Linked DNA regions of Drosophila melanogaster. The protein of the gene in region 2 interacts with the protein of the main gene of each other region in a pairwise test. Each region holds a gene or a part of one and is shown on either strand. Other genes may lie near its edges.

Region 1 (6,780 bases), on a different chromosome or scaffold from region 2:
TCCCAGTAGGGGAGTTGCACTCCTGTTTGTCCACAGCAAGAAATACCAAGGGTTATACCTTTAAAAAGTTCGTTCTATGACTTTAAGAACTTAAACGTATAAAAGGATTTAAATTTAATTCCACATTTAAACTATCAAAAAAAAAAAAAGGAATAGCTTTTTTAAAGATAATTTTATAAATTTCATCCACTTTTCCGTTTAAGATTTATTTTGTTTCCCATTCTTGTTTTACAACTCAACTATTAAGATACACATATAGGCCTATCAGTACCATAAATCCACTTTATATCTGTGATTATCTTTATGGGGATGCACCTTTTTTTTGGCTCAGTGTCCGTTCTGTTTGTTTGTTTGTCGCTTTTAATGCTGAACGGAGTTGGCGAAGGCGACTCTTGACTGATTTTTATGCTTTTGGCCCAATTGCCCCGCAGTAGCCGCTCCGTTCGGAGAGCGGACTCCGATGGGCACTGGGCACTGGGCAATGGGCATCGACCGGTTCTCACTGCTCGGTCCTCGGTCCTCGGCCGGGATTACACCTTCCTGCCCTGCGAGGCGAGGTGCCCCCTCAATGCCACCCATTAGCGGCCCTTTGTTTGACTTGCAGTTGCAATATAAGGTCATTCCTCTGCTCTTGTTCTTGCCGGTGTTTTTGTTGCAGTTGCACGCTTTTCGTTTCGTTTGATGGCTGCGCACGCGGCCTTTTGTTAGTTTTCCCCAACCAATTTCATTTTTTCTTTTTTTTTTCCTTTCCATTATTATTATGCTTTTTTCGTACTCTTAAAGGGAACAACATCGGCGAAATCGCAGTCTAATCACTTCATTAGCCCGAGTCTCCCACCGCTTTTGGCCATGTTAACACGTTGTTCGCCTGCAAGTTGCACGAACTTGCTGGCAAAGTGCGAAAAAAAATGGATTTTAATTGAAAAAGTGTGGGAAGTGTAAACATCGATGCGACTTTTGCTTTCTTTGGATTGTTTAAGTGGTGCCCCGGATTTAATGTAAAACAACTAGAATGTATTTCAAAAGTATGAAAAATTCCATGAATTTTCTACAATTTTTGCAATCATAATTGTATAAATTTCAAGCAAATTTTTAATGGCTCTTAATAATAGTGCAAAATCATCGAGACAACTATGCTTTTATGTAAATTTTGTTTTGACCAATTACTCGGAGTATAAGTGCACATTTTGTAGATGTACAATTAAGTGTTGTTTGCCCACAACTAAATGCTTAAATGGAGACCATTAAAGTGGCTTTTAGAGCATCAAAACTCCAGTCGGAAATATCGCAAAAGTTGAATCGCAACTAATTTACTAACCCACACTATATTTGCCTAAAGTTTTCTCACAATTGTAAAGGTGAAATAGCATCAGCTGTGAGTCTGTGGAGCTGTGAAGAGTGCTCCTCTCGCTTATCGCATAATTGGTAGCAATGTTGGCTGCCACTTTTTGCTGCGGCTTCTGTGGCAGCAGGAACCATGGAAGCAGGCGATTCTTTCTCGGCTCTCCACCTCGCCACCGTATCCGTCGCATTCCGGAGATGCCGGCAAAACACTTGTCAGCGACTTAAATGGCGCGCAGCTGTGCGGCATTAGCTGGGGAGAGCTGGTAAGGCTGGGCAGCCAAGATCTGGGAGTTGAGAGGAGACCAGCGAGACCAGGGAGACCAGTGGACACACCTCTTAAGGAGGTGTTGCGACCGCTGCTCCAGGAAGTGGGCATCTGGAGGGGGAAGGCGTAGGGAGCACGGCACTGCAAGTCCAGTGGCGACATTTGATGTGATTATTGAGTTATGCCCACGGGGGCAGGTGCCAGGCATATTTCGCTTAATTTTCTGATGAAGTTATTCACCGAGATATGGAACGCAGCGAAAATGTACACGTATTATAAGCACAGATAAGCTACCCAAACAAGCAGGCACAAAAAAAATAAGAGACAAGGTAAAAGAAGGTGTGGTTGTGTGATTTTAAATGACAATCCTCTTCGGTGTCTAAAGTCGGCAGTTTAGGGTTTTATTTGGACACGGCCACGACAGGTGTTTAAAAAACATTTCAAGTCTCAAAATGTTGAAAGCACACAAGTAATCAATGTTTTTTTAATTGACGTTTAATTATTGCTCGAGACAGAAATTAATTGAGTTCGATAAATCATTATGTCGAACTTTCAATATGTCTTTGAATATTTCATATTATGTGATTCTGCATAATTTTCAATTAAAGAATTTATATCAGTGGGTTAAATGCGTGTTGTAATTTTGCACAAGAACTTTCAATTCGAAAGAAGATACGCACTTTTTAAGTGAAATATGTGACTTTATGAGTCATTCTATCTCAAAAAGGAAGTTTTCAAGACATTAAGGAAGTGTTTATACAATTTAAACCAAATGAGTGAAAAATGGACAATTGTATAACAAAATGCAGAGAGGAAGTGTTGCATAAATAATTAACATTTGTCAGGAAATCTGTGGGCAGCAACAACAAAAAGCCGGCCAAGAGTCAGAATTAGAGGGAAATAAGAGGGAGACAGAGATGAAACGAAAACAGCAGGCACTACTAAATCACCGACAACAACAACAACAGCAACCCCGGAGGATGAGGATAGAGTGGAAATGGGAAGGGAATAAAAACATAAAAAAAAGCGGCACAGATTGCCGAGAACAAGAACTAAACACAGGCACACACACAGTTTGAGCACTCCAGCTGTGTAGTTGTTGTTGTTGCTGTTTTTTCGCCGCTCCTTTCTGCCCTGCAATCAATAAAACGGATTAGGAATATCCTTTAAATGCGGCGCTTGGTGGAGGCTGCACACACACACTATCGCACTCACGAAATCTCCCTCACACACACAAAAGCACACACAGGCACACATGGCTGCAAATCTTTTACAATAACACATATAGGAGGAATAGAAGTAGCGGCACTTACTTTTCGTTTTCGTGTTTCTCCGTTCGTAGAGGAAATTAGGAGATGGCAATTGAAGGTGGAAGAAAGGAGGATGGCAAGGAGGAGATGAAAACAAAACCGAAAAACGTACACTCAAACACGCACGCACACGAAGACACGCAGGGCGCAATGATTTACCGTTACGCGACGCGAAAATGCTCACAGGAATGGCTACCAATTTACTCCAATTTTGATTTTGTCACTTGCATCACAAACATTCACATTCGACCCCAACGACCTTGCTGTTCCTCCTACGCGCAACTAAAGTGCTATGCTACAAATGCAATTTAAATGCTTGCTAAATAACTGGGTTTTTTTTTTCGTAGAGGAACACACACGACGTTTCAAATTAACAAATTGCTGCCGGTTGTGTCTGCGTTATCACGATTCCTTGATGGCATGGCTGATGGTAATTGGTTATTGGCCAGCCTGTTTGCTTATTAAACGGCTCGTTTGGCCACCGTTTTCGTTTCGCTCAATTCTCAATCACAACACACTTGCTTCAGTTTTACCGGCTTTTTCAGTTTCAATTTCACGCGAATAGACCGCTCGAGCTGGTTTTCAAAACGACCGGATCTCGAACATTTCGACGACTGACCGCGCGGCGATAAATGCGTTCGTATATATTCGTATATGTTGCTTGCTCCATCTGGCATTTTTAGCATCACAGCCGAGCTCGCGAACGGTCACTCTCTTGGTTCGATGCAACCGATTTAGTTCGAGTTCGAAGGGTTTCGAACTTACGTTTCTTATATTAAAAGAAGTGCACAAAAATTCAATAAATTGTTTGTTTCTATTTATATTTCATAATTAGAAAAGTACAATTATTGTTTACCGTTTTCTTGCCCGTAGATCATTTAAATTTAGCCGCGCCACAATTGCATTCTTATATTTGAAATACGTACTAATTGGGCGAATTTAGTTCATTTAGTACAATTGATGCGCATGCGTCTCTCTTGAAAATTAAATTCTCTCGCATTTACAGTGCCAAGATAACTGTTAAGCTAACAGCTGTTAAGTCTAAGCAATAAATAAAAAAATAGTAAACTGTATAAATATCAGTATTATTAAAAATATTTACATTTATTTCGTTTCTTTTTGTTTTTGGCGGTTTCAGAAACCAATTCAGAAATTTAATTTACAATTTTTATGAGTTCAAGCTTTGAGCGATTTGATTGAGTGGTTCGATTTCCGTATCCAGCGATACAGAGGGCAGCACATGAAGCACCAAAAGCACCCGGGATCACACACACATCCTTGGTCCTGGAACATCCACTCCTGGGGATCTCGAAGAATACAGCCACAAAATTGGAAGATCTATGTATATAGAAAGTTTTGACCGCTCACACGGCGGTGATGAGATGGGCGTCATCCTCGTTGATTCGATCCGACTTTCCATTGACCTCGATCGTGTGATTGGACTCGGTGTCGCTGGGTTCCTGCTCGACCTCCTCATCCGCTTCATCGTCCTCGTCCCCCTGGGAGGAGTTCTCACCATTTTCCTTGTCGGGCGATTCTCGCTCCTCGTTTTCCTCGTATATGACGTCACAGCTGGTGGCTATTGATTTGGGCGGCGGCTTCTTTACCGCTTTTCCACCGCCTTTGCGGTCACCATTTTGTTGCATCTCGGACATTTGAATCTGCATTTCCCGCAGGCGATCGGTGAGCACATACAAATCCCGCTCCTGACTCTCGCATCGTGTCCTCAATTCGGTTATCTCACGCAGATCCTCGGCTCGAGGATCTCGTCTTTCGTATCGCATGCGCATCTCCTCAAATCTGCGCAAAAAGGATTGCAAAATTCCTTAAATATTTACTATATTCACTACTAAACTACCAAAAAGGATAATGGTGAATTCAAGGCGGATGCTGGATACTGACTTGGCGTACAACATCCCACAACACGGACAAGCAAAAGTAAGATAAATTTGTGTTAAAGATAAAAAGAGTTAAAAGGTCGAGCTCTTAAATCCCTTTCCTTTCCGATTTTATTTTTTTATTTTTCAAAATTATATAAAGATAAGAATCTTATATTTTAGCAAAATTCGAAAGTTTCGAATCATAATTCCATAGATCTGTGGTCTCAATCACACTCAATCTTTTAATTAACTTTCCTTAGACTTAGGAACTCGACCTTGGGGAAGATGGGTCAGGGTGGCTGGTGGTTTTTGGGGAATGGGTGCACTTACAGATTGGTCAGGCAGCGGCACTTGCGATGCAGCTGCTCGATCTCGTTGGCGTTGCTGATGTCGCGCTTGTCCAGCGCCGCCTTCTCGGCATCGTAGGCCGCCTTCAGGTCCTTGAGATTGCGCTGGTGCCGAAGTTCTACATCGCTGCGGTTGCGGATGCGGATACGAATGCGTACGCGGATACGGATGCAGATTCGGATTCGGGTTGGGGTTATTCAGGTTATATAGAGTGGTCAGAGGTTGAGGTGGATACACACACATAGCGAGAAAGAGAAAGTAAAATATTAGGAGAATCGCACCAGAAGGACAACGTTTGACAAGCTGCATGCCAGATAAAAACATATTTTTTTTCTTATGGGTTTTGTTCGCATTTCAAACATTTCAATACCAATGTCTTATGTCTAACAAGAGATTTTCGATGATGGCCAGTCTTAAATTTAAATCAAGAATCATTTTAAGCGTGAAAAGGGGGATTAATATTTTATTGGCGCGCTAGGAGGTGGCGATATTTGATATAGATCACTGCGACAATATTGAACACCAAGCATGCAATGGCGATCAGCGGCGACATGGTCAGATATAGCACATATAGTGTGGGCATATACGGCCACGCCCCCTTTGCAAACGCCCACAGGGCTGGAGAGGCTGTCGATCGACCTAAACGCTGATCCATGCTGATCCAATGAATGAAATGTGAAACGAAAGAGAACAGAATACAAGTTCATGTGATAATGGATCGAGTTCAAGGACTCCAATGTGACAAATGTGGCAAATGAGTAGGATGCAGACATTCAATGCAAGCCAATGGATCCTGCTTCAATTTAGTGGGGAGCAGCGGTCAGGGGGCACTATTAAGGTAAGTATGCCCATGGGGCGGGGCATGCCACATTGCATTCACTCACTTGATTCGTTCATCGGCAGCGGCCATTTTTGCGCGATGTCGCTCCACAAGTTCCTGCAACGCCTCCTCCTTCTCCGCCTGCAACTTGGCCTTTTGTGAGTCTGCCGATTGATATAATCAATTATATAATTATATATAATAATAATCAATATACACATGTATCTTTACCCAGCTCCTTTCGATGTGATTCGACCATTTCCTGAGTGGAGAGCTGCAGTTCCTTGGCAAACTCCTCCTTAACTTGACCGAGACGTTCGCGGAACTTCTCCTCCATTTCGGCCTTCTCCGCCTCGAACTCCTTCTGGAGTCGTTCCTCCAGCTCGACACGGCGATCCTCCTCGCGGCACATGGCATTCTGGTACTCGCGATCGGCCTTATCCAAATGCATTCGGGTCTGAAGCAGGGCGTTATCCGAACGTTCGCGCAGGCTGAGGAAATCCTGTTTCTTTTGCTCCAGGCTCTCGTGCAGATCGTCAATCTAAATGATGGTTTATAAAATGCAAATATGCATTCGATTGCAGTTTATCTATAACACTATGAACCCACCTCAGATCGCAGTTCCTCCTCGTTGGCCGTGTATCTGTTGGTCAGGGCCCTCAGCTCCTCGATGTGCTCGTTCTGCAGTTTGTCCAACGCCTCGCGACGCTCGTCCACATACACGGACTCCAGTTCATTTGTCAGTCTTGTCATCTCTGTGCTGAAGGCATAAAAGTTCAATTTGGAGCACTCAATATGATGACTTGTGACTTA
Region 2 (6,780 bases):
GCTAGGCGATAACATCTGGCAGGAGTATATATATTCGCGACGGTCTCTCTCCACGTGTCAGTCAGTTCCCAACGATCCTCCTACCCAGACAAGATGAGCTACAGAGTCCAGCCGAGCGGCTTCGCCACCAAGTCCATCCACTCGGGCCAGAGCCCCGACCAGTGGAAGAGTGCTGCCGTGATTCCGCCGATATCGCTGAGCACCACCTTCAAGCAAGATGCACCGGGCGAGCACAGGGGCTATGAGTACTCCCGCAGTGGAAATCCCACTAGGAACGTGCTGGAGACGTGCTTCGCCGCCTTGGATAATGCCAAATACGGCCTCACGTTCTCATCGGGATTGGGAGCCACCACCGCTGTGCTAACTATGCTGAGCAGCGGCGATCACATCATCATGGGCGACGATGTTTACGGAGGCACCAACCGTTTGATCCGACAGGTTGCCACCCGTCTGGGAATCTCAGCCACCTTTGTGGATCCCACGAAGTTGGATCTAATTAAAAGTTCCATCAAGCCGGAGACCAAGTTGGTGTGGATCGAGTCACCAACTAATCCATTGGTAAAGGTAGCCGACATCGAGGCTATTGCGCAGCTGGTCCATGGAGTACGCGAGGATATCGTCCTGGCCGTCGACAACACCTTCCTGACCTCCTACTTCCAGCGACCCTTGGAGCTGGGCGCTGATCTGGTCTGCTACTCCCTGACCAAGTACATGAACGGTCATACGGATGTGGTCATGGGTGGCATCACCATGAACTCGGAGAAGCTCTACAAAAGCTTGAAGTTCCTGCAGAACGCAGTGGGCATTGTGCCGTCTCCATTCGACTGCTATCAGGTGAACAGAAGTCTTAAGACGCTCTCGCTGCGCATGGAACAGCACCAGAAGAATGCTCTGAAGGTTGCCAAATACCTGGAGACGAATCCGTTCGTGGAGAAGGTGTTGCATCCCTCTTTGCCCTCCCATCCGCAGCACAAGATCGCTCTGAAGCAGGCATACGGATACAGCGGCGTGTTCTCCTTCTACATTAAGGGCGAGCTGAAGCACTCCTCGGCTTTCCTCAAGGCCCTCAAGGTGTTCACCCTGGCAGAGAGTCTGGGTGGCTACGAGAGTCTGGCCGAGCTTCCATCAATAATGACCCATGCCTCGGTTCCAGCGGAGGATAGGAAAACTTTGGGCATCACTGACGGTCTAGTTCGCTTGTCCGTCGGACTGGAGGATGCCGATGATTTGATCAAGGATCTGGAGCAGGCCCTTGAAATTGCATCGAAGGCCTAAGTTACTCGCATCACATGTATTTTTTTTATTTTTCGCAGGAATTTGTTTAACCGAAAGCTTATGAATTTGTATATTAATCACCCCAATAAAAGTGTTTTGTCTCAAATGAAAGATATTTATAAACACTTGCTTATAAACATACGTTTGTAAACATATAGACTTTCTGGATAGATCGAATAGATATTACAGATTGTGGCGAACTGATAAGATGTGGTAAATAAAGCTTTGTGTTATTGCTGGTTTTTTTTTCACAATTATTGTTGATATAGTGATCAGATACTGAAAATTGTTGATGTCTTGATAGGTTTATATACGATCGCAGCTGCATTACCTCCACGACCCCCCATAGAAACAGCCTTGGGAGACCCAAATATACCCATTGTCATGTCGATTACCATACGCAAACAATGAATCAGCATGTTTAAATTCGCACCATCATTTAATCATTCTAAGTCGCGATAGAAGAAAATTATATCTCTTGAACGGATGTTCCGATTTGTTTTTACAAAAGTTCGTTTGCCTTTTAGATTAGAGCAGAGTTTAGTTAAATCATGCATTATTTAAGTAACGAACAAAAAAAATCAAGTTAGGAGTTCTTATCAGTGCTGCTCTTATCAGTATCATTACATTCATATGGTATTTCATATGCTTTCTTTCGAACCTTATTGCAAGTTCATAAATATGGTCTGATTTCGATTGTGTTGCTTTATTTCGTTTGAAAATTGTATAAAACATAATGATGAGAATATTGTGTTTATTTTAACAATTCCCGTTACTTGTCTGACAGAATGTAGTTGATTAAACTTAAGCTTTAACATTATATGTACGATATCCAAAACCATACTATTTGAAAGATACATACTATTGTGAAGTGTGCATAGCATTAAATGTACAACGAGAGCCATATCATCATAATAAGCAACTGCGACTTTCCAACATTCATAATTTTGCCTTCTATATATACTTAAAAAATGCATTTCAATTGCTTAAAATAACCAGTAGTTCGTGTGCAATGCTTGTCCTTAGTACTTGTAACGATAAATAGCGACGCCAGCCACTCCAATTAATATCGTACCCATTAGATAGCCAAGCAGCTTCAGCTGAATGACAAAATGAGAATTAACACTCGGTTTTTTTTTATAAACTCATTAGCTATCTCACCTTGGAATTGTCGACAAGCGGCTGCTTTTGCCTGGTGGCAGTATTCTGCTCCATTTTTTTGGCCTGGCCCAGCATCTTTTGATACATCTCCTTTTCGTTGTGCTCCTCACGACGAGCCTTGATGAAAAGTCTGGCCAAATCCGATTGAACGGCTCGATTTTCGGGTTCGAGAGTAGCCACTTTTTGCAGTAGCTTAATAGCACCCTGGGTGTCCGCTTTGCCCTCCAATATCTGCCGGGTAATTTAAGTATTTTGTGAATGAAAATCGATGGTTCTGAGCCAACAACTTACTCTTCCTTTGCGATACAAGGCTTTGGAGTTATTTGGCTGGCACCGCAGCACATGCTCCACGGACTGCAGAGCTGCGTCATAAGCGGCAATCTTGATTTGAGTCATTGCCAAGTTATTGTAAACGATCAACCGATCCTCTAGCAGGGTCTGCGTGTCACTGTTCGAGAGCTCCAAGTCTTCCTTGTCGAACTCGGAGTCCGGATCCCCATCACGATTGTCCAGAAAGTCGAGGGCACGTCTGTACAGGTGAATGGCGGTTGTGAACTCCGAGCGTTTGTAAAAGAAATTGGCACGTTCTTTCTTGCGCGTACTGAAAAGATGAATTATTTTTTAAGAACCGACTAGCAAAGCAAAGAATATAACATACCCATATTTGCGCAGTATTTCAAAGCTCTTAAGGTCCGCAAATTCTTCGTATTTGATATCCAGAAGCTCTATTTCGTAGGTAAGCTGGAAAATTGATATATGTGAAGAGTTCTTATGACAATTTGAATATAAACTTACGTGCGCATCGGGTGGTACCAGGTACTCGGATTCACCCTCTTTTTTCAGTCCTAGGGAGCCGTAGCCGAAGCGGGAATCCACGCTGACTTGGGACACTTCGCCGACCTGCAGCATGGGCAACACCATATCTAATCCTTGGATAACCTCGTAGTCTCCCACGTGACACTGGAAGTTCAACTCGTTCTCGACCACCGTGCCGTTGTCCAGTTTTCCAGTGAAGTTCACGGTGACCAATTCGCCGCGAATCGGACGCCTAAACGAGTCTTGCGGTGCCTTTTTGATGGTGCGCTTAATCAGCTGCTTGTTACCCAGTATATCACATTCCTCCTCTGCATCCTCCTCCTCCGCCTTCTGTCCGTCTCCAGAAACGGATGCCGGGGGTGCGCCATCTCCGGAGGCTGCCTCCTCCGCTGCCACCTTGCGAATGTCTTTGGTGTCCTCGGCGTTGGTCAGGTCCTCGAAGGAGCTGCTGCTAGACTTCTCCGTATCCATAATTACCTATGCTTGGCGAGGCGAAAGTATGTAAATCAGTGGAACTCGGAACAAAGGGCAAAGGCAAAGTGGGAGGGTTGGTCGAGTTTGCTGGTTTCAGAACGGCACACCTAATCTCAACTTACAGCAGTATCTGATTGTGATATCGGATTTTGGTAAAAAAAAAATGATTTAATTTGATTTCAAAAGCAAAATGCGACAAGAAAGTTACTGGGAAACGAAAAATAATTTTACGGACTTCTGCCAGCTAGCCAGTGTGACCAAGTTGCAGTGTGCCCGTTTGCCGAAAATTCCGCTAAGCCGCACTGGTAGTGACTCAAGTAAAAATTTTATCACATTAGTTTATTATTTAAACAGCTTATCTTTAGAAAATATTTATTAGCTACAAATATCCTTTGCTTTATTTTTTTGAATTTCAGTTACTCATAGCACAACTTAAGTTTGAAATCTAAGGCAAACTTACTAATTTTTTTTTGGAAATAAAAATATACATTTAAAAAAAAAAGCAAACGTTAGTTTTTAGTTTAATAAAACTGTTTTAAACACTAAATTAGAAAATACATACTTGCAGACTCCAATATTTCTTAAATTGCATTCGGCCTAATGTAAATTTTAAAATTAGCTGTTTATCGTGTTTTAACGATTTGTCCTTTAAAATGCGAGCGCATTACACACCCTTTCCCAGTAATAAGATCGTTTAAATAGATTTTTTCAATGTATAGATTTATTCGTTAATGTTTCTTCTCTAATGCGTTCATTTCAATTGTTTGCGTTGATTGTAAAAAATAAAACAATAATCGTAATAAACGTTAAAACAAGTTGTACTGCCTAGATACGTAGTGCCAGAGTAAAGACCGCGTTTCATTCAATTGCTTCGTCACTGTCATATAGAAAATGCGTTGTGGAAAATGAAAAGCGAAACATTCACGTTCAATTTCAAATGATATATGTAGTCTTAGTTTTGTACAATCCATCCGAAGGTAAGGTAAGAATTTTGACTTAGGGTTTGGTTAGCCCTCGCAATTGTTTGGTTTCGACTAGCCCAAACTGGCTAAACTAAATTAATTTTGTTTTACTGTTCGTTAATCGTTTAAAACTATTATATAAAGTTTAGTTCAGATTTGTGGTTAACTCCTTTCGGGACAACGCAGAGGGGTCTGGGCCTGGTGGAACACGGCTGCATAGTGTTGCTGCATTCTACTTCTTGTCGGCACCCGCATTGGACTGCGTGGAGTACGAATATTGAGACCAGTAATGATTGGCGGCACCGCCATCATTATTGCCAGCGCCGCCGCCGACATTTACGCCTGATCCGCCACTGGCATTCCCAGCCGCTGCTCCGCCAGAGCCCTGCTGCTGCTGCTGTTAAAGAAACAATATCTTTAGTATTCTCGCTTCCAATGACTTTCATAAGACTCCTCCTGCTTACCTGCCACCAGGACATCCACTGTTGTTGCTGCTGCGGATCGGCACTCTGCCAGGCCTGTTGGTTGCCATAACCTGCTGGGAGAATCAACATAACTCGTATAGTCTTCGCCCTTAAGCAGTCGAACACTGCGTCACTTACTCTGCATTTGGTTATAGGCCCAGTATTGTTGCTGGCCCGCCGCTGCTTGCTGAGGTTGTTGGTATTGTTGTGACTGCTGCTGAGTCTGCCAGATGCCCGTTTGTTGATGCTGCGGCGCCTGCTGTTGCTGATGGTGTTGACTGTACGTACTCCACTTGCCGCTAAGGGAGGCCTACAGGAACGATCGAGATCTTAGCCAGCTGTCATGCGTCGAGGATTTGGTCGCACACTTACCTTGCCTCCGCCAGGTGCTCCACCTTGTTGCTTGTACTGATCGTAGCCACCGCCTACAGCGGTGTTATTGCCATACTTGGGTAGCGATTGACCAGCTGACCGCTCATAGCCACCGCGACTATCTTCTTTGGTGTCGCGGTGGCCAGGCCGAAAATCCCGTTGTTGATGAGTACCACCTCCCGAGCGATAGCTACTCTGGCTGCTGCCCCGGTTCCGGTCGTTACTGCCCATTCGACTGCGGTCGTTGCCACGGTCTCGATCGCGATAGTCCCGCGAGCTGCCGTAGCCGCGGTCGTCATACCCACTTCTGCGGTTGTTCTGCATCCAGTTTTGCTGACCACCACCACCACCACCACCACCGCCGCCGCCGCCACCACCACCGCTGCCGCCTGCGTATCCACGGTTGCGATTGTCGTATCCACGACTGCCGCTTCCACCGCCACCATAGCCGCGATCATCGTACCCGCTTCTGCGGCTGTTCTGCACCCAATTTTGCTGGCCACCGCTACCGCTGTTGTAGTTGCGGCGATTGTCGTAGCCACGACTGCCGCCTCCACCACTATTGCTGGAGTAACCGCCACCGCCGCCTCCCCTGCGGGAGTCGCTCCAACGACTTTCGTGCCGCTGGCCGCCATAATCACGACGTCGGTCATCATTGTATCGATTCCGGTTCCGGTCATCACGACGATAGTTGTCGCGACTTCCTCGGGATCTCTTGTCACGCGACCTCTCCGCGTCAATGGCCTTTTTGCCCTTCTCGTTGTACTTCTTGACCTCGCTCTTGGCCTCGTCACCAGTCAGCTCCGTGTAGTTTATATCATCGAACCAGCCAAACTCCAGCGAGGGAAGTGTGAAGTTGGCTGGAAAAAGATTGCGTGTACATCATCAATAAGGCTGCACAATTGCTAAAATCGCTCATTATCATTACAGATTAGGAATTATTGTAGATGGAGTATAGAGGGAAAGAAGGGATCAACTTTGGCAACCGAACGTAAAAGGGCGCAAAAATTTCGATTTTCAAGAAATCCAGTTGTGAATAAAGTCCATCCTTTATACGTTCCAGTTGCCAAGTGGGGGTTGTTATAGAATAAATGTTAATGAATAATGGTAATAATAATAATCAAATTATGAGATATTTTGAAGGGCTTACAGTTACAATTACGTATAGATACATAAAGTGCAGCTGCTTACAAACTAAATACGTTACATAAGTTTTTATAATGTTTTTCATTTTAACAAGAATGCCTCCTTATTTA
Region 3 (6,780 bases), on a different chromosome or scaffold from region 2:
CACAGGAATCGCCAGCGACAGCGTCGCCATCAGGAGGCTAATGCCCAAGAGTTGGTGCGGCTAGATTTCGCCGACGATGTGGAACTGCGTCACGGCGAGCAATACCTGTTGATATATTTCCGCAGCACCGGAGTCCGGGGCGTGACCAGTTTGGCCGGCGTCAGTGGTGTCTTTGTGGCGGAGAAGCGGCACGGCTCGCCCCATCGGACGGAGTACCATGTTGACTAGCTAGCCGAGGCTCTGGATATCTTTATTCTTTAGTCTCTGTTTCCATAACCGCCGTGTTGATCTAATTTTATTGACCTCATGTGACCGTGTTAAGTTTGCTTGTTAGCTGTTGACTCAGCGCCTCCTCTCCTCTCCCCCCCTCCAAAATACGTTAATACATACATATGTAATTATACATAATTATCGAACCAATAATATTTGTGTTTACTACCAATTCCACCTATTCCCGCCCTGAATGAATCCCGCTTTTTCGTTTGCATACATATGTTCTATTTGCTCTGCTGTCATTTTGTTATTTTTATTTGTACGGTGTCATGGCACTAGATATTTGTATTTAACCGGTTTGTCAAAAGGTTAATTACGCCACATTCACTGTCACACATCTACACTATGACACACCCTGTTGCCAGTAACAGGCAAAAACTTATTGATGAGAGCCAGGTGAGAGCTCTAAGCCAAAATGGGCAGAAACCGGAGTCTGAAAAGTGATATTTTTGAATGCCTCTCAAGTGAAATATATAGAGAAAAGGTATTATATTGAATAGAGTAGCAAAGTATGAATATAATTTTATCTTCATTTAACTACTATTTAATGTAGGCAAATTGTATTTAATTTTTTGAATAACAAAAAAGAGAAAAGTGAACTTTTTAACCATGATTCTAAACCAACCAGCTCAACTTACGAAAGATTTTTAATGTTTTAAACAAAAAGAAAAGGTTTTTCTCCGGAAACGTAGACTTTTATAAAGCGGCATGCGATGTTTTTTCCATTATCTGATTGGTATATAATCTATAAAATTTATATAAGGATAGTTTAGATAAGAACTGCACCTTAACGATAGCTGCAACCCAAGTAGACCACCAAGCAGAAAATTCAAGCAATCTGCATTGACTTCCCCCACCCACCGTACAGTGGGTCAATGGAAATCCGAACTGGCGCAGCCCTTGCCCACTCCCACTAATTGGCAATGTTTTGATGACTGACTGACTAACTGGTGGAACGTACAGTGGGCCGTAAAAGTCTGTGGTGCCCACCGTACTCGAACGATCGAATGGTGTAAACATTTTCGAGCCCATCTATGGTCCGAAAACCAAGAAGACAGAGAGCATTAATTTATGCGGGCCCGGTCAATTGAAATTCGTGTGGCTTAGTAACCTTCAGCAACTATTAGATAACTATATTACCCTCATACCAGTGGACACTTAACCAATGTATGTGTATGGGTGTGCATTTACCCACCTACCTATAAACATATAAATATATATATATATATACATACATACAGTCGTATGCCTTATCAAAGTGAACATTAATCAATTTACTTAATCGAATGAAAACGTTTACAATTGTGTAGTATTTTATGAGTACATAGGACAATTTCATGTTGGATTTCAGTTAATGATCAGTCGAATTAAGTGTGTAATGACTATATAAACCAAACATAAAGCATAATGCAAATCAAACGCCTCAATCACTTCGAATACATTGCCCTTGCACTTGAATTATCGTAATTTCTATTTAACTTTTCAAAACAGCATCTTTATAAAGCATCAATACAAATTATATCTAGTGAAAATATATAAAAAAAAATAAACCTTTAATAATAGAAATTATTAGAATTTTCACTTTTCTTGCCAACTTCTCACTCCGCCTTCACCTGGCCTCGTGTCCAACTACCAGTGATGTACTTCAGGTAATAGGCCCTCCAGTTAAGTCCGGTGAGGCAGTCAGTGTGCTAGATAAACTTGAGTTAGTCGATTTTGACGTTAGGTTCTTCATTTTTGCTAATTTGAAACTTGTGTCGGTTAGCTCAACGAGGGATTTTTGAGAAAACTATGGGTTAGCGAGTTGTTGGAATCGTGTTGTTCAGGGTAGAAAGTATTGACGGTGACGCACATGATCCATTTACGCCGGTAAACCAAGAGTTTTGCGCACCAGCCGTCGGGCGATGGCGTTGAACTCATCCCTCTGTTCGCGCCACATAATTGCTGCATCCACATTAGCGCCGCTCTCATCGTTGGGTTCTGTGGGCAAAAATGAACGACATCAGTTTGAACTTAAGGAATGAACAAGTGAAGTGAACTATCGGCATGATCAACCATATAATCTAGTGAACAAATGAACTTGGAAGTAGATACCCCCGTTGGAATTGCCCTTAAGACTTTATTGTGACTTTTTTCTTACCCGCCAGCATGCTGACCACACTAAGCAAAATCTTCTCCACGCTCTGGACAGGACTCCAGCGCTCCGCGGATAGCTCGTAGCCCATGGGATCGTCGCCGGGTGCGTGTAGTATTGATATGCAGACCCGCCCGTCGGCGAATATGTTGGGATGGAACATGTCACAAGTGAATTTCATTTTAGGCGGACTCAGAGGATAGTCGGTCGGAAAGATGAGCCGGGCAGGAAACACTCCGCCCTCGAAACAAGTGCCCTCAGGTCCGCTGCAAAGGGCAAAGTGCAATTAATGGGTTAATCTGTCCACATCTGTCCGATCCGTGTCGATCGTTCGGGGATCTTAACTCACGCAATCAGTGCCTCCCACTCGAAGAAGTTGTCCTCGCTGATGGGGCCGGCCACAATGCCCTCGGGCGGGTCAAGTGTTAACTCTGGAGATGATCGGAGCGGTGGTAAGGGAAAGCTGTTGCTGCCCTGTGGACTTTCGACTCACGTTTGTATTCCGCCATCAGGCGGCGCAGTGCGGACCCAGCCATCCTAAATGCGCTCGATGGTAATGATGATGGTTCAGTTCACGGGCTCCTTCTCCCCACTGTGACCACTTCCTTTGAGTTTCCTTCAGCTGCTTCTCCGTTTCCTGTCCACCTGCTCCTGCACCTGCTACACCCGAATGGGGTCCTTGCTTGTTTTGGCGGCAATCGCGAACTTTCCAGATCCTCGGGCACGGGTCAAAATACAGACACGTCGTAATATAATAAACACAAACGGTGTTCCGTGTTTATTTATATCGAATGAATCGAGTGGCTTTCTATAAAAATATATCTGTACTGAGTGAATTTAACAAGAGTAATCGATTCGATTCGATAACGTCGGCTATCGTTGTTTTAGTATTTCACACCTTCAAACTACCTTATTAAATTAATTATTTGTTTGCTTCTTAAACCATTATTGATGGACACTTTTAGTTGTAAAATTTAAAATTATTTTTTTGTTTTATATCATTTGAATTTTTGGTTCGATTGCAAGCCAGTGTTTTTCAAAGTTGGGATATCGATGACATCGATAGTGAAACGCAAACATCGATAAGTCGCTGCCCGAGTCGATATTATTTATGTATTTGTTGTAAAACAAAAAGAGCGCGATTTTGTGCAAAAAATCGCATATAATAAGATGCACATCAAGCAGGTGAGTGTTGAAATGACGGCCATGCTCCTGGCCACCCATTGGACACCGAAGATCTGAAATCCACCCGTTAATTCCAGATTATTATACAAGGCTTCAAGAGTTACAAGGACCAGACGGTGGTGGAACCATTCGACAAGCGCCATAACGTTGTTGTTGGACGTAATGGCTCCGGGAAGAGCAACTTCTTCTACGGTTAGTATCAGCTCCAGCCTGCCTGTTCAGCTAACCATATTTAATCGACCCTAATGCTATCCCATCCACTTTGCAGCCATCCAGTTTGTGCTAAGCGATGAGTTCACCCACTTGCGGCCGGAGCAGCGTCAGTCGCTTCTGCACGAGGGAACAGGTGCCCGCGTCATCTCCGCCTATGTGGAGATCATCTTCGACAACTCGGACAACCGAGTTCCAGTGAGTAGTCAAACCAAGTGACCCAGAAAACATAGTCTTTGCAAGAACTCTACTGCCTTGGAAGATGTAGTCAATGGTTGTAACATATCGCTCAAAATCCTCTAAAGCAACCCGCTCATAGCATCTTCTCATAATATTCAAACTTATAGGCAAACATTTCTAGCCACTTCATAACTGACGCTACGCTTATTTTGTAGATCGACAAAGAAGAGATCTTTCTGCGGCGCGTGATTGGCGCCAAAAAGGACCAGTACTTCCTCAACAAGAAGGTGGTGCCGCGCAATGAGGTGGTCAATCTGCTGGAATCGGCTGGTTTTTCCAGTTCAAATCCCTACTACATTGTCAAGCAGGGCAAAATCAATCAGATGGCAACTGCCGCCGATTCCTATCGTCTCAAGCTGCTACGCGAAGTCGCGGGAACGCGTGTTTACGACGAACGGAAGGAGGAGTCGTTAAATCTATTGCGCGAGACGGACAGCAAGGTGGAGAAAATCAGCGAGTACCTAAAGACCATCGAGGATCGGCTCCAGACGCTCGAAGAGGAGAAGGAAGAGCTAAAGGAGTACCAGAAGTGGGACAAGACGCGCCGCACGCTAGAGTATATACGCTACGAAACCGAGCTGAAGGACACCAAGAAGGCTCTCGACGAGCTCCAGCTGCAGCGCAAGTCGTCCTCGGACAAAAAGAAGATCTACAACATTGAGATTCAGAAGGCACAAGAGAAGATCAAGGATGTGCAAAAGAACCTTAAAGAGGCAAAGAAGAAAGTGCAGAGCACAAAGGAGGAGCGCTCCGTACTGATGACGGAGCAGCAACAGTTACTGCGCGAGAAAACGAAACTAGACCTAACCATTGTCGATCTAAATGACGAGGTTCAGGGCGACAACAAGTCCAAGGAGCGGGCTGACCAGGAGCTTAAGAACCTTAAGGTAACGATAGCCGAACGCGAAAAGGAACTGGACGACGTAAAGCCCAAATACGAGGCGATGAAGCGCAAGGAGGAAGACTGCTCCCGAGAGCTGCAGCTCAAGGAACAGAAGCGCAAGGAGCTTTACGCCAAGCAGGGTCGCGGTTCACAGTTCTCCTCTAGGGAGGATCGCGACAAATGGATCACCAACGAGCTGAAGTCAATTAGCAAACAGACGCGCGATAAAATCGCTCATCACGCAAAACTCGTGGAGGATCTGAAGAAGGACGCTACCTCCGAAAAGGATCTGGGTCAAAAGATCGAGGAGCACTCATCGGAACTGGAGCAGCTCCGACTGCAGATCGACGAGCACAACAAGAAGTACTACGAGCTTAAGAAGACCAAGGACCAGCATCAGTCCATGCGAAACGAGTTGTGGCGCAAGGAGACACAGATGACGCAGCAGCTGCAGACGCACAAGGAGGAGCTATCGCGGGCGGACCAGGCGCTGCGCAGCATGGCCGGCAAGCCGATCCTGAACGGTTGCGATTCTGTGCGCAAGGTTCTCGACAGCTTTGTGGAACGTGGCGGTCAATCGGCGGAGATTGCGAGAGCCTACTATGGACCCGTCATTGAGAACTTCAGCTGCGACAAGACCATCTACACGGCGGTGGAGGTAACAGCCGCCAATCGGTTATTCCATCACATTGTGGAGTCAGAATACGAGGGCACGCAAATCCTCAAGGAGATGAATAAGCTGAAATTACCGGGCGAGGTGACCTTTATGCCCCTGAATCGACTTCAGGTTAAAATACACGATTATCCGGATGATCCCGACTCCATACCTATGATCTCCAAACTGAAGTACGATGAACAGCACGACAAGGCGCTGAGGTATATCTTTGGAAAAACGCTAATCTGCAGAAATTTGGAGCGCGCCACCGAGCTGGCCAAGAGCACTGGGCTGGATTGCGTTACGCTGGACGGAGATCAAGTGTCCTCCAAGGGATCCCTCACTGGCGGCTATTTCAATACATCCCGTTCCCGTCTTGAGATGCAAAAGAAGCGCACGGAATACACCAGCCAGATAGCTGAATTCGAAAAGAAACTCAGCAAGCTGCGAAACGAGCTCAAGTCCACCGAGAACAACATCAACTCAATCGTATCCGAGATGCAGAAGACGGAAACGAAGCAGGGCAAGTCGAAGGATGTATTCGAAAAGGTGCAGGGCGAGATTCGCCTGATGAAGGAGGAGCTGGTGCGCATCGAGCAGTATCGTGCGCCCAAGGAGCGCTCACTGGCCCAATGCAAGGCCTCATTGGAGTCCATGACCAGTACGAAATCTAGTTTGGAGGCGGAGCTGAAGCAGGAGCTGATGTCGACGTTGTCGTCGCAGGATCAGCGTGAGATTGACCAGCTGAACGACGACATTCGTCGACTGAACCAGGAGAATAAGGAAGCGTTTACGCAGCGTATGCAGTTCGAGGTGCGCAAGAACAAGCTAGACAACCTGCTGATCAACAATCTGTTCCGGCGTCGCGACGAACTGATCCAAGCGCTGCAGGAGATTTCCGTGGAGGACCGCAAGCGAAAGCTAAACAATTGCAAAACGGAACTGGTTTCCGCCGAAAAGAGAATCAAGAAGGTCAACTCCGATCTGGAGGAGATCGAAAAGCGGGTAATGGAGGCTGTGCAACTGCAAAAGGAGCTGCAGCAGGAGCTCGAAACGCATGTGCGTAAGGAGAAGGAGGCCGAGGAGAATCTTAACAAGGATTCCAAGCAGCTGGAGAAATGGTCGACCAAGGAGAACATGCTCAACGAAAAAATCGATGAGTGTACGGAAAAGATTGCCAGCTTGGGCGCCGTGCCGCTA

What was found.
Region 1: the proteins of zda (region 2) and SKIP interact in a two-hybrid assay, tested with the Drosophila melanogaster proteins (one large-scale study listed by BioGRID).
Region 3: the proteins of zda (region 2) and Ubc7 interact in a two-hybrid assay, tested with the Drosophila melanogaster proteins (one large-scale study listed by BioGRID).

The regions. Positions count from the first base shown.
Region 1 is NT_033777.3:22,130,594-22,137,373, reverse strand, and holds the start of SKIP (shal K[+] channel interacting protein), read right to left. Parts: upstream 3,545-6,780; 5' UTR 2,923-3,544; intron 1-2,922. Other genes in the region: CG42390 (uncharacterized protein), read right to left, coding at 4,284-4,719, 5,130-5,273, 5,621-5,803, 6,032-6,131, 6,199-6,508, 6,577-6,727.
Region 2 is NT_033778.4:18,627,902-18,634,681, forward strand, and holds zda (zonda), read right to left. Parts: upstream 4,002-6,780; 5' UTR 3,849-4,001; intron 3,735-3,848; exon of another isoform or gene 3,730-3,734; 5' UTR 3,724-3,729; coding exon 3,232-3,723; intron 3,178-3,231; coding exon 3,095-3,177; intron 3,038-3,094; coding exon 2,728-3,037; intron 2,668-2,727; coding exon 2,437-2,667; intron 2,376-2,436; coding exon 2,298-2,375; 3' UTR 1,693-2,297; downstream 1-1,692. Other genes in the region: Cth (cystathionine gamma-lyase), read left to right, coding at 94-1,275; CG30122 (uncharacterized protein), read right to left, coding at 4,921-5,085, 5,153-5,226, 5,291-5,462, 5,525-6,384.
Region 3 is NC_004354.4:16,590,164-16,596,943, reverse strand, and holds Ubc7 (ubiquitin conjugating enzyme 7), read right to left. Parts: upstream 3,268-6,780; 5' UTR 2,944-3,267; coding exon 2,901-2,943; intron 2,839-2,900; coding exon 2,757-2,838; intron 2,674-2,756; coding exon 2,414-2,673; intron 2,254-2,413; coding exon 2,135-2,253; 3' UTR 1,077-2,134; downstream 1-1,076. Other genes in the region: CG9784 (uncharacterized protein), read left to right, coding at 1-228; SMC3 (structural maintenance of chromosomes 3), read left to right, coding at 3,578-3,592, 3,670-3,784, 3,861-4,000, 4,198-6,780.